Linked DNA regions of Neurospora crassa OR74A. The protein of the gene in region 7 purifies or fractionates together with the protein of the main gene of each other region. This does not show direct contact. Links are inferred from orthologs where the notes say so. Each region holds a gene or a part of one and is shown on either strand. Other genes may lie near its edges. The genes, in order: NCU09349, NCU08663, NCU02546, NCU03066, NCU01524, NCU09521 and NCU06843.

What was found.
Region 1: the proteins of NCU06843 (region 7) and NCU09349 purify together in Saccharomyces cerevisiae (affinity purification with mass spectrometry; 3 studies listed by BioGRID). This does not show direct contact. The link is inferred for Neurospora crassa OR74A from reciprocal best matches to the Saccharomyces cerevisiae genes RPL3 and HAS1.
Region 2: the proteins of NCU06843 (region 7) and NCU08663 purify together in Saccharomyces cerevisiae (affinity purification with mass spectrometry; 3 studies listed by BioGRID, with this or other methods). This does not show direct contact. The link is inferred for Neurospora crassa OR74A from reciprocal best matches to the Saccharomyces cerevisiae genes RPL3 and NMD3.
Region 3: the proteins of NCU06843 (region 7) and NCU02546 purify together in Saccharomyces cerevisiae (affinity purification with mass spectrometry; 6 studies listed by BioGRID, with this or other methods). This does not show direct contact. The link is inferred for Neurospora crassa OR74A from reciprocal best matches to the Saccharomyces cerevisiae genes RPL3 and NOG2.
Region 4: the proteins of NCU06843 (region 7) and NCU03066 purify together in Saccharomyces cerevisiae (affinity purification with mass spectrometry; 6 studies listed by BioGRID, with this or other methods). This does not show direct contact. The link is inferred for Neurospora crassa OR74A from reciprocal best matches to the Saccharomyces cerevisiae genes RPL3 and NUG1.
Region 5: the proteins of NCU06843 (region 7) and NCU01524 purify together in Saccharomyces cerevisiae (affinity purification with mass spectrometry; 3 studies listed by BioGRID, with this or other methods). This does not show direct contact. The link is inferred for Neurospora crassa OR74A from reciprocal best matches to the Saccharomyces cerevisiae genes RPL3 and BRX1.
Region 6: the proteins of NCU06843 (region 7) and NCU09521 purify together in Saccharomyces cerevisiae (affinity purification with mass spectrometry; 3 studies listed by BioGRID, with this or other methods). This does not show direct contact. The link is inferred for Neurospora crassa OR74A from reciprocal best matches to the Saccharomyces cerevisiae genes RPL3 and RRB1.

Annotation. Positions count from the first base shown.
Region 1 is NC_026502.1:4,196,605-4,200,608, reverse strand, and holds NCU09349 (ATP-dependent RNA helicase has-1), read right to left. Parts: upstream 2,726-4,004; 5' UTR 2,583-2,725; coding exon 966-2,582; intron 897-965; coding exon 777-896; 3' UTR 501-776; downstream 1-500. UniProt on the Saccharomyces cerevisiae protein: ATP-dependent RNA helicase involved in 40S ribosomal subunit biogenesis. Required for the processing and cleavage of 35S pre-rRNA at sites A0, A1, and A2, leading to mature 18S rRNA.
Region 2 is NC_026504.1:4,180,517-4,184,465, reverse strand, and holds NCU08663 (60S ribosomal export protein NMD3), read right to left. Parts: upstream 2,700-3,949; 5' UTR 2,433-2,699; coding exon 2,371-2,432; intron 2,310-2,370; coding exon 812-2,309; 3' UTR 501-811; downstream 1-500. Other genes in the region: NCU08664 (tetratricopeptide repeat protein 1), read right to left, coding at 3,098-3,838, 3,917-3,949. UniProt on the Saccharomyces cerevisiae protein: Acts as an adapter for the XPO1/CRM1-mediated export of the 60S ribosomal subunit. Unlikely to play a significant role in nonsense-mediated mRNA decay (NMD).
Region 3 is NC_026501.1:2,685,297-2,689,285, reverse strand, and holds the start of NCU02546 (nucleolar GTP-binding protein 2), read right to left. Parts: upstream 2,801-3,989; 5' UTR 2,469-2,800; coding exon 2,159-2,468; intron 2,098-2,158; coding exon 1,732-2,097; intron 1,677-1,731; coding exon 1,513-1,676; intron 1,132-1,512; coding exon 112-1,131; 3' UTR 1-111. Other genes in the region: NCU02545 (hypothetical protein), read left to right, coding at 3,164-3,989. UniProt on the Saccharomyces cerevisiae protein: GTPase that associates with pre-60S ribosomal subunits in the nucleolus and is required for their nuclear export and maturation.
Region 4 is NC_026501.1:4,414,055-4,417,925, forward strand, and holds NCU03066 (GTP-binding protein), read right to left. Parts: upstream 2,671-3,871; 5' UTR 2,566-2,670; coding exon 2,538-2,565; intron 2,467-2,537; coding exon 842-2,466; 3' UTR 501-841; downstream 1-500. Other genes in the region: NCU03065 (mitotic control protein dis3), read left to right, coding at 1-325; NCU03067 (hypothetical protein), read right to left, coding at 3,689-3,871. UniProt on the Saccharomyces cerevisiae protein: GTPase required for 60S ribosomal subunit export to the cytoplasm.
Region 5 is NC_026502.1:3,192,924-3,196,597, forward strand, and holds NCU01524 (ribosome biogenesis protein BRX1), read right to left. Parts: upstream 2,321-3,674; 5' UTR 2,170-2,320; coding exon 2,024-2,169; intron 1,946-2,023; coding exon 1,728-1,945; intron 1,659-1,727; coding exon 1,045-1,658; 3' UTR 501-1,044; downstream 1-500. Other genes in the region: NCU01523 (GTP-binding protein ypt3), read right to left, coding at 3,342-3,481, 3,554-3,634. UniProt on the Saccharomyces cerevisiae protein: Required for biogenesis of the 60S ribosomal subunit.
Region 6 is NC_026503.1:18,619-22,714, reverse strand, and holds NCU09521 (ribosome biogenesis protein), read right to left. Parts: upstream 2,801-4,096; 5' UTR 2,564-2,800; coding exon 2,365-2,563; intron 2,302-2,364; coding exon 1,028-2,301; 3' UTR 219-1,027; downstream 1-218. Other genes in the region: NCU09522 (hypothetical protein), read left to right, coding at 3,573-3,614, 3,738-4,096.
Region 7 is NC_026502.1:1,783,778-1,788,040, forward strand, and holds NCU06843 (60S ribosomal protein L3), read right to left. Parts: upstream 2,789-4,263; 5' UTR 2,660-2,788; coding exon 2,647-2,659; intron 2,418-2,646; coding exon 2,339-2,417; intron 2,213-2,338; coding exon 2,056-2,212; intron 1,998-2,055; coding exon 1,974-1,997; intron 1,904-1,973; coding exon 1,254-1,903; intron 1,196-1,253; coding exon 940-1,195; 3' UTR 501-939; downstream 1-500. Other genes in the region: NCU06844 (hypothetical protein), read right to left, coding at 103-105; RCM-1, read right to left, coding at 4,130-4,263. UniProt on the Saccharomyces cerevisiae protein: Component of the ribosome, a large ribonucleoprotein complex responsible for the synthesis of proteins in the cell.

The DNA.
Region 1 (4,004 bases), about 2.4 Mb from region 7:
GAAGTGATGGGAAGGGAAAGGAGAGGATATTGGGAAAGGGGAAGGGGAGGATATTGGGGACGAGGTGAAATTTGGTAAAGTTGTTAGGTTGGTTTGTGTCGGGGAGTTTCCGTCTGTTATGTAGTTCAGGTTCGGGGGGTCGATTGGGGCTGCAGATAGAATAGGTATCGATGTAGGTCGTTCTGAAATAGTAGACTGTCATCAGTGGGTTGTTTCATGCTTTGTTGTTGGAGGTTAGTGTTGAGTTGGTACCGGTTGTCAGCTACCTAATTTGGGTATTGATTATGAATCCCTACAAAGGATCCTTGATAGAGAGTGACACTCAGGACCTCCATGCTTTCCATCAGCCATATCAACATCACGATCTTTCCAATTGCGTAGCAAAATAGATATGATGTGGTTTGTTCAAGGTCTTTCTTACCATTTATCAAATGAAACTGTCAGCATGATAATATGTTCCATCCTCACATGGAAAGACACCCGAGATGACCGAACGGCACAGCATCAGAAATACCACACCAACGGAGCAGCAACGTAAAGTAAAAATTAATTGTTGATTTGAAGCCCTCCAGTTTTACTTTTCAACCAAAAACGCCTTGGCAGCTTGCGCAAACAACAACAAGTAAACAGCAAAGTAGCAACACAAAAGAAAACACCCACTATGCTCCACACCGAATGCCCGATGGATATCTAAGAGAGAACATTGACAAATCATCATCCCCTTTTCGTATTCTAACCAACAACAACAACAACACGAACACCGAATCCCGCCTCGCTTAGTGACGGTTCTGCTTCGGCTGGCTACCATACGCTCTCCTGCTCGTCTGCTTCTTGTCACGCGACATGCTGGAGGCCAGGGTGATGTCTACCCTGGGAGGGGTGGAGAAGCCGAAGGACTGTTTTTGTAGTACGTTAGTGACTGTTCTGGTGTTGGGGAAGAAAAAGGGAGAGAAGAGAAAACATACCTTGGCCACCTTAACCAAGTCAAGCTTATGGATATCAAACACCGACCGCAAACTGTGCGAAGCATAGGCGTGGAGATACGACCTGTAACCGTCCTTGGCGCTCTGGTTAAGGTAGTAGTTCTGGCCGATCAGCTTCTCCAGCTGGGACTGAACGTTGAGGATCTTGCTCTTGGGGAAGTCGTATTCCACAACGGGGACCTTGGCGGCCTTGAGATGGGCGAGGAAACCCAACTCGTTGGGCTGGAGGAAGAGCAGCGAACGGCCCTTGGTGTTGTTACCACGGGCGGTACGACCGACGCGGTGAATGTAGTCGCGCGGGTCATCAGGAGGATCGAACTGGACGATCCAATCAACGGCGGGGATGTCGAGACCACGGGCGGCAACGTCCGTGCAGATGAGGGTGCCCTGCTTGGCGTTGCAGAATTCGAAAAAGGTGTTTGTGCGCTTCTGCTGCTTCTGCTTGCCGTGGAGATCGAGAACCTGAAGATCGATGTACTGGAGAAGTTCGGAGTAGTACTTGACCGAGTTGCAGGACGAGAAGAAGACAATGACCTTCTTCTTCTGCATCTTCTTGAGGAAAGAGAAGAGGAGCAGGAAGCGCTTGTCGGCGTCGACGACAACGTAGCCTTGGTCCAGACCCTCGACCGTGCTGAACTGCTTCTCCTCATCGACGTTGACGTAAAGAGGACCGGGACGGAGCGAGATACGGGCGAGATCCTCAACCTTGGTGGTTTGTGTGGCGGAGAAGAGCATGGTCTGACGGTCCTCCTTGGGCAGGATCTTGATGATCTGGCGCATTTCGTCCTCGAAACCAATCTCGAGAATACGGTCGGCCTCGTCGATGATGAGCGATCGCATGTTCTTGAACACAAAGGGAGTGTTTTGCAGGTGATCGAGCAGACGACCGGGAGTAGCAATGAGCAGGTTGACGCCCTTGCCCAGCTTCTCGGCCTCAGCACGACGGTTGGCACCGCCGATGACGACACCGTATGTTTGGGAGTGGTTCTTCATGAGCTCGCGGGCGACGCCGAAGATCTGGAGAGCCAATTCGCGGGTAGGAGTGACGACAATGGCACCGGTACCGTTTCTCGGCTTGAAGCGCAGGGAGCTGAGCATCTCGATAGCGGGAATGAGGAAGGCGAGGGTCTTGCCGGAACCGGTCTTGGCCGCACCGAGGACGTCCTTGCCGGCGAGCAGAGGCGGGATACCTCTCCTCTGGATCTCGGTCATCTTGGTGAAGCCCATTTCGGCAATGGCCTTCATGGTCTTGTCGGACAGGTTGAGCTCGGAGAAGTCGGTGGCATTGGTCGCGATGGACGGGGCGATGAGGGAGTCGTTGGTCTTTGTGAGTTCGTCGCCGGCCTCAGCGTCCTTGTCGTCGCTGTCCTCCTTGTCCCCGTTGCCGGTGGGGATGACCTCGTCGCCATCTTGTTGTTCCTCCGCCTTTTGGGCATCGTTCTCCTCCTCGGGGGTGGCGTCCTCGACGACCTCTTCGGCGGCCTTCTTCTCCTTCTTGTCCTTCTTCACCTTCTTGGTCTTCTTGTCGGTGGCGGCGCCATCTTCGGTCGCAATCTTGGCGTCCTTGAGCTTGCGCTTCTTGCTAAATTCGGAAGCCATCGTGATGGCGTGGGGGGGTTGGTACTGTCGGTGGGTGGTTGCGATACTCTGGGAAAAGGGCGTCGCAATGGTTCCGTTCAAATTCCCAGCGAGTCGAATCTGTTATCCTTCCTCTGCCTTCTCTTTCGCTGGGGATTTTTTTCTTATCGCTTGTTCGATAACCAGGGATTACACCAGGCGGTGAAAATTTTGCCAATTCTGCCCTCTTCTCCTGATGAAAACCTGGTCTGTGCGCTACAGCCGTCCCAGTGTTGACCCCACTTTTGACTGCAGATCAGCCGAACCCCGGAACCCGCCAATTGTGCCCCCAATTGCTTGCGAGAGTCGAGAACTGAACTTGTCCATTTCCTCTTATCTTCAAATCCGCATTATGTTGTTTTCTTCTCTGATATTCGTTTATTATCACAACGCTTTCACCTCTCCTGCAATTACTCCAGTCTGTCATAGACATGATATACTCAACGTAACCGCGTGTAGTCGGTCTTTCATGTTCGTTGTCCCTCTCACGGAATTAGGCTCTGGATGTCGTCCATGGTGGCATTGCTTTACACTGCGGATATTCAAACGCTGTACAGTACCTCTGAGATCCTGGCATTGCAGTATTCTTCTTATGTTACATTTCTATTCCAAAGGTTTAGTGGATTGAGACAGACCAGTCAATAGCCTGGTGGACTTTGCAGTTCCCGTCCAGCGGACGACTTCGAAGGCCTTGACACAAGTCCATAGTCAGGCTACGGGTTGCCTTGATCGATAATCGATAATTCGGGGCAGCTGGAAACTTACCCCGTCTGCGGGATACAGGGCGCAAGATTGGAACGTACCAGTCAGCTTCGAATCCAGGTCCCTGGGTTGGAAGTGTCACTCGCCGAGAGGCCCCTGGGTCGATACATAACAGTACACATGGCAGATCAATATCCTCGCATCATTACATTGGCTGAAGTGAAGTTTCATGAACCCCTTCGGAATCCTTCATATTCTCTCAAGGCTGACGGGATGCTATCTTGGTCACGTCGGAAGTAACAACACCTTTATTACATGAAAACATGATCATTTTCCATGGAGTTGACCGAGTCACAAGTGTGGTTCGGTCTTTGGCTCACTGCTGCCTTGGGTCGCATCTTTCCACGATCTGAGGCTGAGAATGGTTCCAATGGGAGGTATCAGCACGGAAGTTGATGTTCATGATATAATCTGGTCCCATGGCCCTATTCTTCAACACCACTCGCTCAACACCACGGACAGACATCACGGAAACAATCCAGAAGGCATCCCATAAAATAAAATCGGACAAGAACTTCTGGTTCTTGAATCGAAACCACGTTTATGTTAAATCTCGATACACTCTGTATCTCACTTCCCCGTCTTTCTGCTGCCAAGTGGTGCCCCAGGAGGCGTAGACACGGCTCAAGCCGATCGGGCTGG
Region 2 (3,949 bases), on a different chromosome or scaffold from region 7:
AAACCCCCTTTTCCCTTTTTGCCTTTAGCCCACCTACTACTGAACCCCTGACCCATGTCACACCCAACCCTCAACTCCACCACACAATTCATGAACAATTCGTGCTTTTCCGGTTCAAGAACACATCCTCTGGTGACAAAAGCATAAAACAATCGGAAGCCATCCTTCATCGGGTATGGTGTAGCGGTAACATCGTTGACTCTCACTTGTTTACAAGTGTCTGTTTTCTCAACAGCCCCGGGTTCGACTCCCGGTATCCGAGCGATAACGATCAACCTTCTGGTTCTCTTTTTTTCGTTTTATTTTTTCCATCTTTTCTCTTCGTTTCAAAGTTGTTCCTTGGCCCCCTCTGCATCGTTGTGAAACCCCGCGCATTTTGTGATATGTTTTCCTTTTTCTGGGGTTGTATGCTTTGGAACCTTTGTCCGGACTCGAAATAAACCTGTTTTCATAATTGATGATGACCGAAGGCGACAAGATAAAACAGACGGATGGAAAACATTTTGAGCAGATGTGTAACACTAGGCCTTGACTGACCAAGATCATCGTACATGACAAGTTGCACATCTTCGTTGATTTAGTACTTTGACGGTCGTAGCATCCTTTCAACCACGTCTATGCATTCACAACTATAAAGACAACAGAATGTTGGATGCAGAGGGCGCCAACACGGCAAGCCCATTCCCGAATCTATTCATGAAATGCCTTAAAAACGCAAACCCTGAAGAACAGCTAACTCCCAGAATTTTGATTTACCCCGAATCCCAAAGCCATTCACATCCACATATCAGACTCCAATCAAGATCACATCCTACTCCTTATCCTGAATCTCCATTTCCTCAAAGTCATCGAGGAGCTCGTCCATGCTGATCTTGGGGCCATCCTCCTCAGCCTCCGTCATCATGTCGGTATCGGCAATGCTCATGGCATCCGCCTCCCTCTTGGTCTTGAGCGAGTTCTTGTACAGAGCAAGAGCAGCACGAAGCTCCTCGTCCTCCTCGACATCGCGCAAGAACATCTCGTACTCGGCATCCATCTTGGCCTGGTCCGAAGCCTTGGGCAGCAGCTCGCCCTCGTCCTTGGCCATGCGCTTGAGCTTCCAGTTTCTCTTTCTGTTGCGGCGGCGGTTCGGGTAGTGCTTCTTGACGAGAACAACGTCAGGGATCATGGAACCGTACGCCTTGGAGCTCTCAATCGCCTCGAGCGCGTCCGAGTTGAAGTTGGTACCCTCGAGCATGTAACCCAGCACCGAGTCACCGGCGTGGAGATGCTGGCCGAGATGTGTGCGAGTGAAGTAGACGTTGTCGTTCACGCCGAGATCGGAGGCACGAGCGACCTGGACCTCGGAGAGAAGCCACTTTCCTTTTCGTACGCCTGTGGACTCGATGTCCATAACGATAAACTCAACAAGATCGGGAGTGCCGGCAAGCGGATGGAAGGGAGCACGCCAGTAGATATCGGCGCTGACTTCGGCGGTCTGGAGGGTGTTGGGGTCGAGAAGGTTGACAGATGTTCCTATCCTGTGGCAAAGGACAAGGGGAGAAATGTTGCCAATGGACTTGGCGAGTTTGAGAGGAAGGGCAACCAAATCGTCTCTGCAAACAGGCACGATTTCGACGGAGTAGTTGTACTTGTACGACTTGTTGCCGGTGTGTGTATCCGCGGAAATAAGATGCCTCGACTCCTTGGTGAGAACTGGTACGACGGACTTCAGGAAGCTGATGAATCCCTCGGCCTGGTTCTTCTGGGCAAAGTAGAAATCGATACCGTCCTTCTCTTCCTTGATGTTGATTGTGTCGCGATGGGCCTGGTGCCTGAGAATGAGCTGTTCGAGGAAAAGGAACGTCCTCTTGTGGGTGACCTTTTGGCGGACCTGTACGGCGGCGCGCCAGACGTTGGCTGTGTATGACTTGGCGCAGTCCTTGCACTGCTGGCTGGCGACGACGTAAGTGACCTCGAAGCTTTGCTGCATCAACACACCATCCGCCACCTGATCCTGAACCGTAACCTGAACCTTGACTCTTCGCGAATGGGGTTCTGTCCAAATGAACCTGGCGTCTGTGATGCGGACCTTGCCCAAATTCCTCAGTTTCTTCAAGCATAGCGACAACAACTCTCTCGATTCGGGGGCGGCTGTGACCCAGCTGGCGGGGGGTAGGAGCCATCTGTCGCAATCTTTGCAGAAGTGGAGGGTGGCCTCGCGCTGGATGCCCTGGGAGATATCGACGGTGGACTTGATGCAGTCGTAGCAAAGAGCGCCGGCGGAGGATGTGCCATCGATGGGAGCGCCGCAGTTGCAGCAGAGAATGCTATTGGTGGTGTCAGCAATCATGCCTTCGATAACCTTCAGTCTTCATGGTCAAAACTCACGTAGCACCTGTCCTGGCAGAGCCCATCAACGGGGCCATGGCCATAGGAGCGTCGAGATCCATGATTAATGAAGTTGTGGTTTGCGACAAGATATGAATCGGGGTATCAATTGTAAAAACAAACAAAAGTCGCTATGTCGTGAAAAGGAAAACCTGGGAGTTCCGTCGCAATCACAAGTGAAGTTGCTGCGGATGAGAAAGAAGTTGACGACTGGAAATTTGAATGGACCAGGACGAGAACGAGTCGCTGGGGGGGAACGTTGGAGGCGCTGACGGGACGGTCGTCAATAAATTTCTTGATGGGCCCAGCACCAAATCGCCCCGCGCTGCATTGATAAGCAATTCGTTATCGGCTATCGGCTACCGTGGGTACTTAGAGGTATTAGCACAAGCCAGTGCAGCAGTACGTACAATTGTGGCGTTCTACTGCCGGCTTTGCCACACCAATAAATCAGCCTCAAAACTTATGGAGCTTTAGCTCCGGCCAGCTGTATTGCAGCTGTCGGGTACGAGCTCCTGATCATCTCCCCCCCTTGTCGATCTGTTGACATTGAACTGTCGATTCGTGTTGACTACTGGTCGATAATATTTTCAGGTGACTGGAAAATCAGCTTTCCCAGTCAGAGGTGCATATGGCTGGGTGACTGGACTATCAAGAAGCCATTCATCCTCAACCACGACGCTGGTAGGCATCGCAAGAGCCCTGACCCTCATTAACTTTCACAACATTACTTTTTGCCTTCGCCACCACCTCCCTGGAAATTCATGCTGTAACCACCGGTCTTCTCATCCTTCACCATCTTGAAATGGTCAGTGCTAAGACCAAACGGCTTAAGCAACCCATTCCCAAGGTCCTTCAACTTGCCCCACATTTCAGCAGTCTCCTTCTCCTGAGCAGCCTTGGCCCGGGGCGGCAGTGCTCTGAGTTGCGCCTGGACGAGCTTTCGGTCGGTAGCCGTAAGGTTGGTCATGGCAGATAGCTTCTTGTAATCCTCGATAGCCCCCTCGAGGGTGGACCATCCACCCAGCTCGCTCCTTGCCCGGGCCCGGCGTAGCAGAGCTTTGGCCCGTATCCTGGCAATATCCTCTAGTCGCTTTTGGCGGGCAATCTGCGCTTCAGTTTCCGTGACAGGAACGGCGGGTCCGGCCTTTGCTGCACCAGCGCTGACAATCTCCTCTTCGACATCTTCCTTCTCCTTCTCTTCCTTCTCGGCAGCCAGCTTGTCCTCCCGCTCTAGCTTGTCAAGCAAGTCCAGAGCTTTGGTTGCGTGCGTGATGGCATCCTTCCAAGCTTCCAGCATGAGGTGACAGGCGGCCACGTTGGAGCGCAAGACGGCCAAGGGGTAGTCCAGGTAGTTTGGACAAACAGCAATGGCTTCGTCATATTTGTTGAGGGCGGCATCGTATTTGCCCGAGGTGAAGAGGGCGTTTGCCTCTGCTTTGTGTGTGTTGGACTCAGCTACCAATTCCTGCTGAGGCGGTCAGTCACAGAGGTTTGGGCATCAAGAGGGTCTTTGTTGTTGTTGCTTTTGGTCGTGGGTACTTGCAGCCTCTTCTTCAGGTGAGAATTTGATATCGGC
Region 3 (3,989 bases), on a different chromosome or scaffold from region 7:
TATCAGTGACACCGGCCGTCATGATCCGATTGGATCGTTACCAACCCTGAGGTCGGCTATTGAACGCATGCTCGGTTCACCCCAGCCGCCCATCGCGTTCACTGACCGAGTTTACTTCCTGCTCCTCCTTTGCTTCTTCGGGGGAGGTGCTGGCGCAGCCTCGGCTTCTGACTCAGACTCTTCGAGTTCGCTGGCTCCTTCGATGTCGAGGTCGGATCCTTCCTCGTCATCTTCGACGTCAGAGCCCTCCTCCTCGCCATCCTCTTCCTCATCGCTCGACGCGTCCAGGGGTATCATATCTTCAGCAGTGCTCTTCTCCTCACCCTTCTCCTCAGCAGCCTCTTCGACCTCAGAGTCGCTGTCACTGTCGAACCCGGCAAAGTTCTCAGGGTCTTCCTCCTTGGCATCCTCTCCTGCTGAAGCGGGAGTGGTAGCAGGCGCGCTGTCGTCCTCGTCACGTTTCCGCTTCTTGGACATTTCACCGTAGCGTCCTTCGCGACCCTCCATGGTATCAGTCTCACCCTCCTCCTTTTCGGGGGCAGGCGTGAACCAAGGAATCTTGCCTCGCATGAAGTCATTGAGAACCATCTTCGCAACGCCATCAACGTCAGGCTCACCACCCTTGAGAAGTCTGCCGCCCTTCCTAGCAAGCATCTCAAGGAAATGAATATGGTCCTTCCAGCCCTTGAGCTCATATGTCCTCTCCATGTGGTGAGGTTTGACCTTGTTCAATACCGCAGGGATGTATTGCTCCGGGTTATCGACGTTTTCCACACGTACAACACCACGGAGCAGGAGATCCTGTGGCGTATCGTTCTGGTTGGGAGGAACAATGCCAGGGCAGTCGATGAGGTAGATCCTCCTCATCAAGGTGACGTACTGCCAGACCTTGGTCTCTCCGGGAATAGGGGCGACCTTAGCAACGGGCTTCCCACGAAGGGCATTGATGATACTCGACTTGCCGACGTTGGGGTAGCCAACAAGACCGACGCTGATCTGTTTCCTGTCCTTGTGCAGGATACTGAACTGTCTGAGAAGATCGATCAAAGAACCACGACCGAAGGGGTTCTTGATGCTAGATCTCATAGCACATGTAGGATGATCCTTCTGCAGAACGCGAATCCACGCGGCCTATTGTTTTCAGTTAGTCCTCAACTCGTTACTGAATATAACATATATGTATAATGTGAAGAAATGTGTGAATCATAACTAAGAAGACCACCATGGTAGAGTCTGCTCAAAGGCAGGGTGGAATTCAACTCAAACGAAACACGTCCGGTATCCCGTGAAGTCCTCCAAAACGGAGTCCATCAAATCCCCAATCCCAAGACGGGACCAGAGAGGTTGGGAGGTGGATATTAATCTCCCAGCGATGTAACAGACCAATCCCAATGAAGCGCAACTGAATGCGGGAAAGATCCTGACAAAATCCCTGGGAACCTCAGGATTTGCGCGAGGCAAGTCAAGAGATTCAAGCAGAAGGAGTGAAAGCAAATAATGGTCTACACTTACAGCAGTCTTGGAAGGAACAAGATCGATCTTGTTCAGCACGAAAATAAGATGCTTGTGAGGAGCCTCAGTGGCAAGGTATTTCTCAACGTGACGACACCTGGTTCCCAGAGGATCTCTGGCATCGATAACGTGCAGGATGACATCTGACGAATCAATGACCTTGTCTATGTGATGGTTAGCAACCCGAAGTCACAAGTCCCCAAACACAGAAGGACTTACACAGTTCGTTCCAAATACGCTTCGACTGGCCCTTTGTGAAGATAGCCTCCTTGGCCGTCGCGACACTGAAATCCTCCTCTTGAACATCGTCATCGGCAAGACCACCGCCATATCCAGAAGCACCACTTAGAAGCTTGATCTCCTCGAGTCTGGCCTGGTATGTATCCATGCTCTTCTCGCTGTGTTCTGTCAAGTCACCGATCGTGTTGAAGCTGAGTTTTGGCCTCTTCCTTTGGGCCTTGGGGCCAAAGGTCTGTGAAAACGGCTCGCTCTCAATCGTCATCTTGGCTTGGTGCTTCTTCAACGCATCCTTGGGTCCATCTCTGATCAAGCTCATGGGGAGCTTGTTGCTTTTCAACAGCACCGCTACAAGACAAGGTGCGTTAGTCTTGGTCGGCCGGACAAGTGACGGAAGAGTTGAACGTACAGTAAGGATCCTTGTCCTTCTCGGCAATCGCCTCCCGGAAAGATGTCAACGTATCTTGCGAAATGACTCTGGTGTTGTTGAACCATCTCCGGTTCGGCTCGATGACGGCTGTGGGAACATCTCTGCTCTGATACGACGCGGCCTTGACGACCTTGCCCTCCTTGTTGCGAATGGCCTTTCCCTCCTTCAGCACGTTCAAGGCCTTGATCTTCTTTGCGCTCCGGTAGAAGTTCTCGCCCTTGACCTTTGGATCACCCGTCACCTTGCCCTGTCGCTGAATGCGAGACTTTTCCTTCTTTCCTGTTCCCATTTTGGCAGATATCACTCAATGCCAGATTACCGAGTAGGTTGGTGGGTAGAGGATGCAGATGTGGAAGAATTTCGTTCTCGCCTGCGAGAGCGGCTGGGGGTATCCGTAGATCGGGGGGTTTGAGATTGACTTGAAAGAAGAAGCACACGAAAATAGGGAAGAATGGGTAAAAGGCTAGAAACGAGGCTATGGGGTATCAGATATCGGCAGAGGGTGTTGCGTGAGAATCGAGAGGATGAATGGACTGGGGAAGAAGAAAAGAAGAGAGGGAAGCGAGGAAGGAATGAGAAGGAGGAAATGCAACTCTGCGACTGGTCCCGGCGAAAGTTTTGTCAGTTTTTTTTTTGGGCGGGGTGTGGAGGCCGCGCAAAGGTCCCCATGCACAAAAAGTTTAGCGGTGTACGACGGCAGAACGCCCGCGACCAGCAAAGCTAGTAGCACCAAGAGCACTCTAGCGCCGTTCTGGCCTCCCCGAGCTTTCAGAATTTCGACGGAGTTGAAAGCCCCCTCGTACCGCGGCGTGTCCCACGATCCCGAGCCGAACCTACCTACCTAGGAGAGCGAGAGGCCGCTGCACCCGCCTGGTCCGTTCCCTCCGTCGCACGAAACCTCCGCATAGCACGGCCCGGCCAGAAGTCTCCCAACTCCGACCCCATCCCGCTCACCCCGTCTTCAGCCAACCCTCCACCTCAAAAATGGCGCCAACTCTTGCCAGGCCGTCGCTCAGCGGCGTGCAATTTATCCTTTCTTCCCCGACCACAACATGCGCTGCCACCAGCGTAGTAACACGCGCCATCGCCGCCCGATCTTTCAGCACCACCCGATCGGCTAGAGACTCGGTCTCCATCCCCCCCGATTCGCCCAACTACATCAAGGTCCCCGAGCCGCCGCAGTCTTCCGAGGTTAGGCACCCTTTCGTCAAGGGCCACCTCCCGATCCCCCGCTCCATTTTCCCAAAGAAGGGCGTCCCGGAGAAGGTCCAATCCGGCTATGTCAATCGTATCGCTCCCAAGTCCGCCGCCGAGCTGGCTGGTCTGCCGCCCAAGTCGAAACAAGAGTCGTGGCGTCGCAAGATGGCCGAGGCCCGGCGCCAGTCACTCGAGGCCGGTCTGCAGGGACTCTGGCAGCGCAAGGTGAAGCGCGACCAGAAGCAGGCGAAGGAGAGCAAGGCGCGCTACTTGGCGAACAAGCGGGCGGCCCAGGCGCCGGAGCGTCTGGACGAGGTGTTCACGCGCGCGACGATTCGCGAGAGCACGGCCAAGAACACATTCGTACCCCTGGACCCAGAGGCTTTCGTCAAGGCCGAGGAGGCGCGTATTAAACATGCAGAGAAGGAGGCGATGAAGAGCGAGGCGCGCCGGGACGCCGTCGTCCAGCTGTACGTGGCGTCCAAGAACTTCATCGTGGACGAGAAGGAGCTGGAGGAGCACGTCAACAAACACTTCACCGAGAAGATCCACAACGCCGGTCTCTGGGAAAGCGGCCGCAGCATTTGGGATTCGCAGAAGAACCCCATTAGCA
Region 4 (3,871 bases), on a different chromosome or scaffold from region 7:
CGGCCGTGCCAGCATTGCTTATTATGTCGGCCAGGCCCTGCGCGGCAAGGCTACGGAGGAGGACGGCTTCGTCATGAAGATCTTTAGCAATGGCTTTGTTGTGCTCGTGCCGAAGTTCGGTATCGAGAGCTTGATCCGTCTGCGTGACCTGGCGGAGCCGGAGCCGGCGGCGACGTATGATGCCGAGACGTACACGCTGACCACATCGGGAAGCAGGGAGGTTAAGGTGGAGTTGTTCCAGAAGGTCAGGGTGAGGGTGACGGATCAGAAGGATGAGACGACGGGGAAGAGGGGGGTGAAGATGGAGCTTGTTAGTACTTATTAGATTTGTTGAAGATGGATGCTTCAGTATTTGAGAAGGGGTACAGGTTAAGAATACCCTTGATGGACTTTTGTAGAGCAATACATTGTTTTTTTACTTTCGGCTATCCAAACGTTCATGAAGTCATTTTCGGAATGTCGTTGCTTTCGAATTCGATAATAGGCCATTGAAAACACAGCTCGGTATGATGAACGATGCAGGGAATGTCAGAAAGAATTTAAAGCTTCACTTCAAAAGCCTTTGTCATAGAGGTGTTTATGATCAGGCTATATTTGACCTATTTTCTACCAGCCGGCCTGCCTGTCTCCCTTTTTGCTCTTTCCCACCTTGACGCCAAAACGCCTCTTCACAAAGATGTGTCCAGCTCCGGGGTTCGTTGTATTGTGTTTCTGACATGCAAAACAACAAAATACTCATTACGACATTGACCACCGACGCAACCGAAAACAAAAAAGAAACCAAAAAGTGAAATGCTCAACAACAACTGCCAACAGACAAAGATAGGGGGAATAAATCGCTCTACTGCATCTCAACATCCGGAGTCGCCGTCTCCTCCTCATCTCCCCAAAGACCATCCAGCTTGAACTCCTTGGCCCACTCGGTCACGATCACCTTCTGATCCGCTAGGGGCTCATCAGCGGTAGCAGACTTGCCGCCAGCAGGAGCAGGAGCAGTGGCGGTACCAGCCACAGCCAAGACGGGAGCATCGATCCAGCCCTGGATACGACCGTCGCGCCAGTCGGTCACGACAGTCATGGCAGCGGCTTGGATATTGGGGATACCGCCCCTGCCCAGCCTGCCGCGCTTGCGGGCAACCTGGACAAGGAAGTCCATGGTGGGGTCGCCGTTGTTGGGGTCGCGCAGCAAGGGGGGAAGGTCGTACACCTTCATCATCTTGTCCATCAACTCGGGGGTGGCCGACAGGCGCTTGAGCAGCAGCGTCACGGCGGGGACCGGGTCCTCGATCTGCTTGGGCGGGATGGCATTAAGGAGCACCAGGTGGGCGTGCGCCTCGGTCTGGTTCTTGGGGGTGAAGGTCGAGTTGCCGGCAGTGGAAGGGAACACGATACCGGGCGAGTCGAGCAGCGTCAGCTTGCTGTCGATCTTGACCTGGCGGATCGAGGTGGTGACGCCGGCCTCGGCGCCGGCCGGGCAGGCGTTGTGCTGGCCGCGGCTGTTGCTGAGGCGGGACAGGAGGGCGTTGATGACGGACGACTTGCCGACGTTAGGGTAGCCGATTACGCCAACCTGGATGGAGCGCTTGAGGTTGCGCGAGACGGCGTACGACTTGAGCGCACGGAAGAGAGCCGCGCTGGTGCTTTGGACGGTAATGTCGCGGTGCTGGAAGGTGTGGGCGTTGGGGGCAGGGTTGGAGGCACGCAGCGGCAGCGTGGGGAAGTAGCGGCGCAGGTGGGTGAGCCAGCCGCGGAGGACCGGGGGAGGGATCAGATCGACCTTGTTGAGGATGAGGATCAGGCGCTTACCACCGTGGGCGGCGGCCATGACGGCGCGCTCGACGTCCCTCGAGCGGGTGCCTTCGGGATCACGGGCGTCGAGGACGTAAAGAATGACATCAGCCTGCTCAACAACCTGCTTGAAGACCTTGTCGAAAGCCTTGCGCGAGGAGGCGCCGCCGGGAACCTCAATAACGCCGGACTGTGTGGGTTCGCCATCGGTCTCGTCGTCGGACTCGTCGTCATCGTCCATCTCGTCGCCGCTCTGGAGCTCGCGGTCGTACTGCTCGGCAGCTTTCCTGGCGCTGGCCACCAGGGCAGCGAGGGGGTTCGACTCATCGTCAACGTCGCTACCATCCTCCTCCATAGCATCGTCGTCGTCCATCAGATCGTCATCGAACGCCTCGACATCGCCCTCGGCGCCCGTCTTGGTGTCCTGGCCAGTCTTGGCCGCCTTGGCCATCTCACGACGCTTCTGCTCCTGTTCCTTTCTCCGAATGCGGTCCTCCTCGATCTGGTTCAACAGCTTCTCCTTGTAGGGGAAAAGGTTCGGGATACCCGGGTCCTTCTTGAGCTTGGAGCGCCATTCTGGGTTCTTCTTGGCGAGCTTTCTGTCCTTGCGTTGCTTCGCGGCCGAGGCCTTCTGGATCTTGTGCCTGAGGCGTACGGGTGTACGCTTCGATTTCGGCTCTGTTTTTAAGTAACGTCAGTCAATGTGTTGATTGGAAGAATATGTTGTTCTCAGCGAAAGATTGACTGACTTTTGGGCTTTGTTATCGATCCGGCCATTTTGAAGATATGCTGCTCCTAATGTCAAAAAAGGAGGTACAGGAGGATAATTGAGGATGGGACAGCAAGGTAAAGCAGCAAAATCCGGTCGCTACTATGGGCGGCTGTACTGATTGATGGTCGTCAAAAAATTAGAGTGGAGGAACGGTTTGTGCCACTGCTGACCGCCTAGATAAGCTCTGATAAAGCAGGGATCCGCCGTGTTGAACTCCACCAAGATTCCAGAAGTCCCCGCTTCGAATGTGGAGATGCGCGTGCCTGTAATTTACAGTCGTATTGTATGTTTGATTTGTGTTTAGCCAAACGTGGAATGTAAATTATATTGATACACTTATGGTGTGGTTGCGCTTGTTCTCTATATGTATATGAAGAATTATTGCTACCGACTCTTTACGCAAGTGGTTTGCATTGCCTTTCCAGAAAGAGGACTTTAGGTCGGTCCGTCTCAACAATCAAACACTTGTCTGCCATGACGATCCTCAAATCCATCGAACCGTCCGTCAAGGTGCAGTTCTGGATGCCATCAGTTCTGTCGTCAAGCACTTGTTTATACCACACATGGACGCTGTACGCTTTTTTTGAGTTTTTGGATCATCATGGATTCAACAGAACACCGTGCCCCGCTCGCATAATTGATCGTCGCTTAAGCTGACAATGGCATTGCACTATGCAATGATTATCGGCAGAGCAGACACTCCGGACATTGGGTCATCTTGGCCTACGTAGACAAAGTCCTGAAGCAAAATAGCATGCTAGCATCGAATACGCATCAAGAAAGGGGGTTGTGGTGGGGAGGTAACATATCACCCAGAAACCACGCTTATCACGCTTCACATGAGGGAGTATCTTCAGAAACTCTTCCGTAGGTATCCCCCATTTAGCGTAGAGAAAGACGGAAGAGACCGATTGTTTCCCAAGTTATCGCACCCTTCAATCGCTGTTCTCTTGTAAATGCATCCAGGACTTGCGAGTCAATTGTATCCTTGATCTGATGGGCCCTTTCAACGCGTTCAAGGAGCTAATTTATCGCTAATTACAACAACGACTCATCCTAACGCTGCTGGGACAGTTGCTAGTTGACCGTATCGAGGTTTCCGATCGACCGGCACGCGAAGTGCTCCGCCTAAAACTCCTTTGCTGTTTCATACTGAACCCGAAGCACACGCTTTGCATCATCCATCAGGTCCATGTGCTGATAGATAACACCAAGCTCGCCACTGGCTTCGATGCGCAGCTCACTTGATGCCGACATGGCCATTGCTTGCTCGAGCAGGTCTTTTGCCTGCTCATACTTGCCAAGGCGTCT
Region 5 (3,674 bases), about 1.4 Mb from region 7:
ACAGGTCCCCTGTAGCGAACTTTCACAATGAGTGAAGTGAACCCTCTACAACCTATCCTCAACTCTCTCCTCCGATATCGATGAGTGAACCTGAGTCATGACCAAAGTACTCCGAGTCGTTTTTTTTGCTTCTAAATTTTGATCAAAAGCGTTAGCCATACGTGTTCAACATTAGACTCAAGCCATTTGTCTTTCGCTTTAAGGAGCGACGTCCTAGGTATCGGCTCCAGTCCTTATCTCTTGTTTTCAAGAAGCACCAAACTCGCGCCAACTCCCAGGCACACTACATGACTTAGACGACCCAAAGCCCCTGAGAAGATGGCTAGTCCGTCAGAAAATCTGAAATTTGGGACGATGTCGCCCAAAGCTACCTTGGGACAAAACATGGTACTTTTTCTTCTTCTTCTCCTTGAGGAGTGTACTGAAGGTGGTGATATCATCCCAACAACTCAACGAAAGAGACACCTCGTGTCTCTTATATATATGGAAACAACCCAAATCATGGAGCAAAAATGTGAGACAATATCTCACAGCGCAACTGCATTTAAGGTAGAGTCTAGGTCCTATGCGAACAACATCTCCCTCAGGAGTGTGGTTATAGACAGTCAACCGCTAGTGAGGTGCCGAGCAAAGTACTTGCTCTCCTACCCTTCTTTGACCATCTCCTTTCAACACGACCAAGACCGGAGCCAGGACGGCGTTCATCACTCAATCTTGATCTGATGTGTCCGTTTTCGAGCCAGCACCTTATACGCTGAGTGCTCATCTACCACTCGATCATGATCCTCTTTCCCAACTGTCAAAAGAGGACAGCTCGTCCGTCTCACACATCCCCACGAATACTGTAATGTTGTACAATGCAAATCGATTTCCTTTCTTTTTCCCGAACCAGACCAAACCAGCCAGCCAGCAAAAGTACAAAAAACTCCTTGATTACCCCTAAACCTAAGGCGTGCGTTGCTTTGATGTGTCGCAAGCGAACAGACGTGATGAAATCGTGTTGTGAAAAGCTCTCTCTCTCTCTTTCCCCTCCTCCTCCTTTCTCTAAGCAAAGAGCTCCCGGGTATCCAAGACATCCTTCTCCTTCTTCGCCTGGGCCGTGAGGGTCTCGAGCTTGCCGAGCCTCTCCTTGACCTGCTCCACCCTGGTGTTGTGCCTGGTCGCCTTGGCCTTGCGCAGCTCCGAGCGCACCTGGTTGGGGGAGATAAAGCGCTTGTTCTCGTAAATAATGGGGCCGCCGAACGCGCCCTCCTGTATGATGATGGGCGTTAGGACGAACCGAGGTCCGATCTCAACCAGACTGACGTCTGTGTCCTTGAGCTCCGCGTTGGGCGCGCCCTTTCTCTTTTTCGATGATGACTTGTCGCTCTCGGGGACAATGTCGTTTCCTTCGCTGTCCTTCTCGCCCTTGGCCTTCTCCACTTCTCGGATCTCGTAGTTGCGTACCCAGATCTTGCCGTCGGCAATGCTGAAGCTCATGACGTGGTCGATAAACGGTTTTGACTTGCGCGCGCCCTGGGGGACGCCAAACATTTGCAGAAACACCTCCTTGATGACGCGGTAGTGCGGCTCTTGCTCGAAGGCGAGGTCGAAGGAGAGGAGTGGCCTCGAGCCCTTGAGGCAGTTACCCGTGAAGTGAAGCTCTTCCATGGTGTGCACTGTGCTTTTTGTTAGAACCCGATTTTTCCTCTTTCACAATGCGTATCTCGGATATGGATAGTGCTCACAGTTTTGGGCGTGGAACTTGACCGTAGGGCCGTTAGGAACCTTGCTAAACCACATGTACAGATCCTTGCCCTTGCGCGCCTCGAAGAACATGACGTTGTTGCAGTTGTAGAGCTCGGCAAGCTCGTTCAGTTGGTACAGCTTGGACTTGGAATCGAACTTGACGTCTTTGCGGCCGTGGGGGAGCATCGCTGCGAGATCGTTGAGGAGATGTCTGTGTCTGTACTCGGGGCGCAAAGGCGGTTAGCAATTGACCCTTTCTTCTTCCATCTTGCAGGTATGCAGGGTCTATATGTACCTGTAGGTAACGCCTCTGGACGAGAGAATCAGAACTCTCTGCTTGTTCTTCCGAAAGCCGCCATTGGTGGTGGTGGTGTTGTTGTCGTTCTCCGTGTCCTCGACCTTCTTGGCGCTCTTCGAGAGCGACTTGTAAACGGCGGCCATTTTCTTTTTGTTCTTGTCGTTCTTTGGGTATCAAAATCGGGCGAAAAACAAGGGTGACTGAAGTTGGTGGTGGTTGTGGTGGAAGTGATGGCAGAAAAACGGAATGCGGATTGCAAAGGTGAATTCAATGCTCCAATCCACGAACGTCGCGGGCGAAGCGCAGTGATGGAGTGCAGGCTGTTCCATCTCAAAAAAAGTTCGCCGGCCAATCGCAGCCCCACTCCGATAAGCTTCTCTTATCTTACTAGCGTCCCTGTTCCGGCCCCCCTGCTTGGAACAGCTGAAAGGCGGTCGGCGGTCTGGGCAACCCGCATTTGTCCCACTGATGGACCCAACCTGGAATCCGGACCCCCAAGTTCTGGGGATTCCATTGCCTACACACACTGTCCAAGTTCCACGCGTTCTTCTTGTCTGCCCTACAGTGGGGGATGGGACGGGACTGGCCTCTTGTCCGCACTCAAACCCACTTCAACCGCCTCGGGTGACGCGATGGGAGTAATGAGGGACAGTCGCCATAATCCATCAGGCAAGCCCAGATGTCTTAATTTGTATTGACTGTTTCCCGCTGTCGCACATAATCAACTTGAATGTCATAACGAGATCCTGCACGATTATCGCTACATAGGTACTCACTCTCGAGGTACTCCTCTTCTCCCACATTGTGGATGCAATAGATGGAGACCTTGACAACGTGGAGCAATATGTACCAGGTTGAGTTAAGGGCTGTTTATCGCCCATAGTTCATTTCAACTAAATAATATCTTTCGTAATCCATGCGCAAGTGATGGCTTCGTTAACCACATTGAGGAAAATTCCAACGACCAGCACGGGGGGAAAAGGGAAGAAAGGGGTAGTAGTAGTAATAACAACAAAAAGGAAAGGCTGGAAGACGAGCATCATGATCCTTTCCCCCCTCCCCAAAAGCCCAAAAAAATAGAGAGAAAAAGAAAAACAGACCATCCCATCGGCGACCGTGATGTAATAAGACTGGGCAGGATCCGTCCGTACTTTTCCCCCGATGCTGCTCTTCATTGCTCATCATAAGCCTCCATTGCTTCATGTCAGACATATGTGACGCCGTTGTTGGTTCGGCACCCTGTTGTACTCTGCTGCACCCTGCACCTCAACCCTTCAGGGCCACTCGGTTCCCGGCCCGGAGAATCAAGCACCTCCTAACAGCAGCCAGACTTCGCCTGGGGGTCGTTCGCGGTCTGACTGAGCGAGATGCTCTGGCCAGACAGGTTTTGGTGGCCCTCGTTGGACCCGCTGGGGCCGTTGTCGAAGTTCTTGGTCGACACGATCTTGTAGATTTCTAGATAAATGATCGCATGTTAGCGGTAGGCTCGCGCCAGAGCAGCAGCTGTAGGCTTTGGGCAAACGTTACCAGTCAAAATGTTTTGGAACGCAAGCTCGACGTTTGTGGCGTCGAGAGCCGAAGTCTCGATAAAGGATAGGTGGTTTTCCTCTGCAGTTCTCTCTGTCAGTCATCCTGGCGATACGGCTTT
Region 6 (4,096 bases), on a different chromosome or scaffold from region 7:
ACAGTAAAATGAAGGACCATCTTACCAAGATACCTTCCAGTAGAGATTAGTTTGAGTCATGACCATGAGAGAAAACTCTGACCTAAACATTGGGGCGCGGGCATGGCGTACTTGTGAGATGGTGATATCGATTGACCTCCCAGCACACACACACACACACAATTTCACCGGAGCGTTTCATCCGTTTGACGTTTTTTTTTTTTTTTTTTCTTTTTTTTTTCTTGCTTTCCTCCTTCCCTTGCTGCAAGGATAGTCTTAGCTATAGACAGCACTTGAGATGGCTGTGATCCGTTGTTCCCGTCCAAAGCCCGGATAACGCCTGTAAAAGCTACCAGGTTTGCAACATACCCAACCAAGATCGGTCAGCTAACGGCAACAGCAGAAAGATTGAGAGATCACAGTAACAAGGCAGGGCAACCGAAAACGGCGTAGCGCGCCTCCACTCTCCAGGCCATATTCTTTGAGGTATGCAGACCTGGATGAACATTCGCGCAGAAGACGTGGAGCTGTCGGTAGACGCCCCCCCAATGACGAGTATCTGAGGCAATAGACGTGATGCCCGCGCGGTCGTCACTGTCGCAAACCTCCTCCTAAGCATTCTGTGTCGAGATGGCATGTCCGACAGTTGCTATACCCGGTCTGTGGTAATGCGTAAGACACACGTCATAGGAGGTGGAGTCGACTGGAGGCTTGCTCATCACCGGAGATTTAGGCCGGTTCCGATATCAACCTAACTTTGGTGTTGATGGCAACCATCGGATACGACGGATAGGGGCGTCAACGGTGGTAAAACTTTGTGGTCGGCTGGTGCAACACAGTAGAGCACGGAAAATGTGTGGAATCCGCGGAGTTGTCAAGTTCCGTGGAGTTGGCAACTTGGTTGCTGGTCAATGGGTATCTCGATAAGCAGATGGAAAAGTAACTTTTGATGCATTGTTGGTCTAGACCTCCCGCACAAGCCAACCGATTCCGAATCCTGAACACCTTTGTATTGTTTCCCAAACTTGATATCCTATTCTGCTGTTGTTTATACGCTGATGGTACGGAAGACGCTGAACTGCTCGCCGGTGGCGACAAGGGCGCCGGGTATTTGAGGGTGCCAGTGGAGCTCCTTGACCATGTTCTGGTAGTGGACGAACAGGAGCTGGGGAGGGACGTCCGAGACACCGGCGGTATCTCTGCTCTCCTCGTCATCCAGCTCGACAGCCAAATCCCAGAGAGTGACGGTGTTGTCGCCAGCAGCAACGGCCACGATACTGTCGTCTGTAGGGTGCCACTCGATGCTGGTGATTTGCTCGTGGTGGAAGTTGAAGTTTGCCAGAGGCGCGGGCTTGGCCGAAGGGTTGCTGCTCCATTGACGGAGATCCCAAACAGCCCACTCACCATCGTCGGCACCGGTAGCAAGCAGGTGGCTGGTCTGGCGGCACCATGACATGACGTTGACGTCGTAGTTGCTGATCTTCATGGTGAGAGCGGGCGAGCGGCTCTTGCTGCGGACATCCCAGACACGGACGGTACCATCGCTGGAAGCAGAGGCGAAGACGTTGGCCTCGGAAGGACTCCACTGGATCTCCTCGACACTGCCGGTGTGGCCGCGGAAGGGACGAGTGTCAGTGACGAAACCGCCGCCATCAGTGCGAGTGGTGACATAGATCAGACCGTCGTTGTCACCGGTAAGCAGCTTGCCGGCGGGGTGGAGAGGCGACCAGTCTACACCGTAACCCTCTGTCTTGTGGGCGCGGATGGTGCAGACGGGCTTGTTCTGTTGGGGAGTGACAATCATGCCGGGGGTATCGAAGGAGGCGAGATGGGGGGTGATGTCGTGGATGAGCACCTGGGAGGACTCGGTCATGGTGGCGGTTAGGGTGGTGGGGGGCCTCGAGGGATCCTGGGCAGGGGACTGGTGGGAGCGTATCCTGTTGGTAGTGGTGTTGAGGGGAATGCTCTTGTGCTCGAGAATGGGGTCGGTGTCCTCATCATCCGAGTCCTCGTCGTCCGAGTCCTCGCCATCCTCGCCCTGCATCTTGCTGAGGCCACTGAACTTCATGACGAGAAGGGAGTTGTCGTTGGCCTGGGCGCCATCGGCCTGGGTACCGGCGACCGTGTACATGGTGGCAGGGTAGACATTGCGGTTCTCGCCGAGGCCGTCGCGGATGATGTCGAAGGAAAGGCAGGGCCAGGGAGTGCTCAAGCTGTGAAGCATCTTGTATGTCGTGGTATCGGGCGTGAGGGTCTGGCCGGCCTCGAGCTGTTGACGGCCAACCATGAAGGTCTCGGGGCCGCCATCGACGTCCATGGCGCCTGTTTGTTGCGACTAGGGTCAGTACAATGTAGTCACGAGAGGATGAACATGGGTGGTCGTACCCTCCTCAGCCTCTCTCTCGGCATCTGGGCGGCCATCAACACCGGCCTCGATGATCTCGTCTTCACTCTCGAACTCGTCCTCAAAGTCGTCCTCGAACTCGCCCATGTCGTGGTCCTTATCGACATCCATGGCCTCGGGGCGGTCGCCGCCCTTGAGGGGAGCAGCAAGGCTCTCGTCTTCGGCGGCTCTCTTGGACATTTTGTGTGGTGTGTGTGATGTCGGTACAATGTATGATGAAGGGTTGTTTGCAGGATTGGCTACGGCGGCAAGAGGCAGACAGCACTGTTGCGTGTTTGTTGTTGACAGATGGAACTCGGCAGCCGCTACAGTATCAGACACGACGGGAGGGCAGCGGACTTCCCAATCCAATGTCAACTGAACCGAACTCGGTCCCGCAAATTCCACTTCCAAATTTTTGAACTTTTTAGTGGAGCTGTGGGACAGCCGGGTTGCCAAGCTTCCAAATCTCCACAGCTACCCCGCGTGAGTGGCTTCAAGTTCTGTCGGGTCCACTGCTCTAGTCCAGGCCATTTGTGGCTTACTTACCTGCACTACGCACTCCTGGCACTGCAGGGGATGTGGCTCAGCAACCGCACTTAGTTGTTACCTCCATCTACAGTCCAATGCTGGTTTGATTGTTAGCTTGGTACACTAGGTAGGTACTTAGGTCTGGTGGTGCATACTAGGCGAAATCAATCCCGAATAGTCTTAAAACTGAAGCTTATTAGGATAAATTAGAATGGGTGAGTACGAAATATAAAGGCATTAGCAGGAATTGATATAGCATATTGAATATTAGGAATGGCGTTTCCAAAGTAATAACAGGCGTTACTTAGCTATGAAGACGCATAGGAAAGTTAACACGAGGTCTCGAGCTAACAAAGAAACTAGTACTGGACTGTAGGTACTCACTGGACTGCATTTGAACTGAACTGAACGACGGAAGTGAAGTCGAGTCAACTACACGTGTGTAAACTGGAAGTCTGCCATCCCACGAAAGATGGACCTAACCTTTTCGTCCAACAAATCGATCCCACTTGATGCCTGCCCGACGCTGAACCCCAACCGGAAAGCAAAATCCCGACTTTCTTTTCCGTTCTCAGTCAATCCGAGATGCGATACAGCTTACGAGTAAGGGCATTGCCTGATTACGAGTCCCAACATGATACACAGTACAAGCGGAGCTGCGCCTCCGTCATGTCCGAAAATGATCTTCGGCTTGCCCGAGTCCACTTGCCGGCCACCTGAGGTAGTGTACTCCGGCGTCCCGACGCGCACAACGGTCCAGTCGTGATCGACCCCGTTCCAACAACAGCTCGACAGTCCCGTCTTGCCAATGTCAGTCATTCTAGGGCCAGTCGTCGAACCATAGCACCCCAACATGGTCCTCAGCATGGCACGTTCACGTGGCGTCCTCGCCCTCATGGCCATCACCAGTCTCGTCACCGTCTGGCTGTGTCGACTTCCCCAGCTAAACACCGACATAACACGAGGTCCCGTTCTCCAACGCCATCTCGATCTCTCCCTTCCCGATGCCCCCTTCGTTGGCTGGCCGCTCGAGAGAGTCTGCAGCGAGACCAGCTGGACCCCCGGCCTGGTCTTCGTTTGCGACAACAACTCCGGCGGCATCGGCAATATCCGCAACTACATGCTGACTTGCCTACGCTATGCCATTGATGCCGGCGCAACCGGTCTCGTTATGCCACGAATCCGCGTCCGATCCGAAAAAGA
Region 7 (4,263 bases):
AGAGCCGGGTAATTAGCTTTGCGGATTGTCGACAAAGAGTTTGTGTTGAGGATGGAAGAAGCAACTAGAACAGATCTGGGTCAGGGTTAGGGAAGTTCAAACCATTATGTTGTTGTGTTTAGGTTGAGAACGTTTCGTTGGGCGGGACGACGATGACAATGATCAGTCAGGTGGGTGGGCTGCGTGGTGGGATGCGAACGAACGTCCGATGATGTAACCTGCAGTAGCTGAAACCAATTAGGAATGGCGGATCTCACGTTGGCCTAAGAGTGGAAGCGTCAACCAATCAGGAGATGGGCTGCTTGCAAGGTCGATCGGGGTTTGATATGCCCTCAACAAGTAACAACAGCCATGTACGCCGTGAGGACTCCCAAAAGCACGACTAGGAATATGAGAAGATGGTCGAAAAGTGATATCATTATCAGTCGTGGTATCGCAGATGAACAATATCAGGAAGAGAAAGCATAGAGACGGGTAGTGAATGACAGGTGGAAGCTCATGAACAGTTGATAAATCGAACACGTCCAGCGCAGCAGAACAGGCAACGAGAATCACACGACATGCTACATTCAAGACTATCAAATTGGGTATATCTATATGCCACTGGTCCCTTCAAGTCATTACCCTACACTAGTGGGGGCATAGCAGCCCAAGACAAAAGTCCTGGAATAAAACATACGAAGTTATAAACAACAGTGTCCATCGAATCTGTGCCAACCACCAGATTCTTCACGTGTTCACATCACATAAAACACATTTTGCTGAAGGACACTCTCTTTGGCAGTACACTGGATCAACGTTTCATTGTTCTTCAACAGCTTTTTATTAAGCCGTAAATGCTAGGTATAGTCCCATTTCCCGACCGACCCGAAAGAGCAACGAAAAAACCGTGACACCAATGCAACCCGACTAACAAGGAGATCAACTGCAGCAGCCAATTTACGAGCTGGCAGCGAGGTCCTTCTTGAGGGTACCCTGGAACTGCTTCTTCTCGGCAGGGGTCTGGAAAGCACCATGACCGAACTCCGAGGAGGTGTCGATCCACTTGAGCTCGACCTTCTCGAGGGCCTTGCGGGAGGTGTGGACGAACATGGACTTGCGGAGAGTCATGACTCTCTTCTTGACACCGGGAACGGAGCCCTTGACCATGACGAAGTCGTTGTTGATCTCGCCATAGCGGACGAAGCCACCCATGCTGGAACAGGGTTAGTTTTGCGCTCTTCAACTTCTTCAAGACAGACGGGGATACATACGGGGTGATCTTCTTCTTGGTGACATCGACCTCGGTGGCAGCAGAGTCCTCAGCATCGCCCTTGCCAATGCGGTAGATCTTGTGGTTGACCGAGGTACGGTGGTGGTAACCGGCCTGACCAGCGCGAGCAACAGTCCACTGGACGTGGGAAGGATGCCAGGCACCGATACAGGCGACCTTGCGGAGACCCTTGTGGGTCTTGCGAGGAAGCTTCTTGGTGCCCCAACGAGCGGTGACACCGGTGAAACCGTGACCCTTGGTAACGGCAATGACGTCGATAACCTCGTCCTTCTCGAAGATGGAGTCGATCGAGACGGGCTTCTCGAAGAGGCCGTGGCCGAACTCGACCTTGTCGGCGACGGAGCCACCGTTGATCTGGATCTCCATAAGGTGGGCCTTCTTCTGCTTGAGGGGAGTCTTGCGGATCTGGGTGTGGGCAAGAACACGGACGACAGTGCAGTACTTCTTGATGCGCTCGAGCTCGCGGGTGATGGCGGCACCGTTGTTGTCGGAGTGCTTCTTGACGTACTTGGTGAAGGCCTTCTTCTTGGACTTGTACCAGTTCTTGTAGAAGCGGCGCTTGACCTCGTCGGACAAGTGCTCAGCCCAGACGGTGGTGAGGGAGCGGAGACCGCGGGGAGTCTCGATGTACTAATATCGGGGTTAGATCACACGGTCGCGGTAGGCCATATACGGCAGCTGGACAGGATCAAAGACTTACGCCGACCAGACCCACAACGATCATCTGCGAGAGATGTTAGCCATTGACACAAAAAGAGCCAAGCGGGCTGCGTTGTACGTACAGGAGGGGTATCAATGATGGTCACAGCCTCAACGACCTCCTTCTTGTGAGCCTTGGCGCCGGGGCGGTCGAGGTCGCGGACGATGGTGGTCATGCCGGCCTTGTAGCCCATGGCGGCGGTAAGGTGGACGGGCTTCTTGGCATCATCCTTAGGGAACCTGTCATGAACGCGCAACTGGTCAGCCTCTCTGTTCGCATGCCCTATTGCCCAAGTTCCGATCGCGAAAGATCCAAACTACTAGCGATAGTGTTGTCGATGGTACCAGAAGATAAGCTTGACTTACGACTTGACCTTTCCCCTGTGGCGGGCCGCGCGCTTGCGGGGAAGGTAGGCCAGCGAACCGTGGCGGGGAGCCTCGTACTCTGAAGCATCGAGTCAGCATGAAGGACGTTCAGGTTGCCATGAGGTCCAAGTCGTGATCACGCATGCTCCCCAAAATCCAGTCGCCAAAAAGTCGAAAATTTCGATATCGCGACGACCGTCTCTCGGGAAAGCTGCTCCATCGATTCTCTCGAAGTCGGGATTGCGTGTAGAAATCGACAAAGACCGTATGTCTGGCGGCGACAGCGACGGCGATGAGGCGTTACTTACTACGGTGAGACATGACTGCTGATGATCCCAAGTACCCGGGTTGTTGATGGTCGAGTGGGAAAAAGTTCACTACCGCGAAAACAAAATCAAGAAGTATCGCCAGAGAAATTGGACCAGCCAAATTTTTGTGTGAGTGGTGTGGATTGGACCGTGCACGGGCCTCAAGTGCAGCGGAGCCCTAACTTTTGCGCGAGCCCTTTCCGGCGGGCATGTCCGCCTTCCTGTTCCTCGAGCCCGCCCAGCCAACCAGCGATGACCAGCCAAGCCCAGAACAATCCACCCCACAAGAGCGACCCCGTACACTTAGTCAGCTTGGCGGGCCATTCACTAATGGCACATTGATGACAAGGTAAAGTCCTGTTGAGGTGGCAGAAAACGTGACTTTGATTGCTCTGCGTATAAGTCCGTCATCGTCGCCGCTGCCGCCGTAGGTACGTTCGCAGATGGAATACGAGATATGGGATTTTTTCGGCGCCTGCGCGTGGCAACGGCTCTGTTTGGTCTGGTCGGTTACAATATGTTGAGCTCCAATCTTCGTTGTTCCCCCCCTTGACTCCATCTTGATCACACGGCTGATTCTCCGAATTCGATGTCCGCGCCCACGGTGTCAAAGAGAGCAAGCTGTTGTGGCTTTCAATAGCCTAGGTTGGGCTGTTTGGATCAAAGCGAGATCTCCATCTATTGGGGTTGTCAGCTGCCTGTCAGAAGCATGACGACATTGTCAAATGCCCCATCTGCTTCTTGACTCAATACCTCTAGCTTGTCGAGCTCGTGGACAAGGGCATTATAACAGTCGTAGATGTAAAACAAGTGGGTTGGCTTAACATGATTACATGATTAGGCGGACATGCATGGTCAAAGGCGTACTGGTTACAAGGGATAACCACGAAAGCACTACACTTAGCTGTCATCTCCTTGACTTTTCGGGCTGAGGCGCCGTTCAGCCATTTCAATAACACCGTATCCCGTGCGGGAATGATCACGACGTTGCAATTACGATCCCAAGAGTGTAACGACAATCGTAATCATGTTCTCTAACTGGCCTCTATGGCAAAGCAGCGAGTTCATTTCCGCCTCTTGAGGATATTCCCATTCCCTTCTCGCTGTCGACTTTCCAACAGATGACATGCACACGCTTCTATTCCAAACACAAGTCATAATAATGTATGTACATCGGAATCCGCTCCTTCCTCTCCCTCCTCATCTCCTACCGGTCAGTCAAAACGTGGTAAAATAGTGCATTTCGCACCCATGAGATCTTGAGCTTCACAGGTCCTTCTGTCTCCATCATCCATGTGTGTGAAATGATGACCACTCTTTCAAACCACATAAAACGAACAAGTCGACGTACATTCCCATCCATAAGCAAAACCATTATGACATCGACAGGATCTTGGGTTCTCCTACCTCTGCCGTATTATAAGCAGATACACTGGGTCTTGTCTCTCGCGCAGAAGCTCGAGGTACACGGCAGATGATGTAATCAGTTGCTTTCTGACTTTTGTCCCATGATGCCGTTGAAGCTACCGCTCGTTGAGGCTCCGTTCTTGGACTCGTTTGCTGCAGGGCCGGATCCGGAGGAAGGACCGGGAATAATTCCGCCCTTCTTGTCCTCCT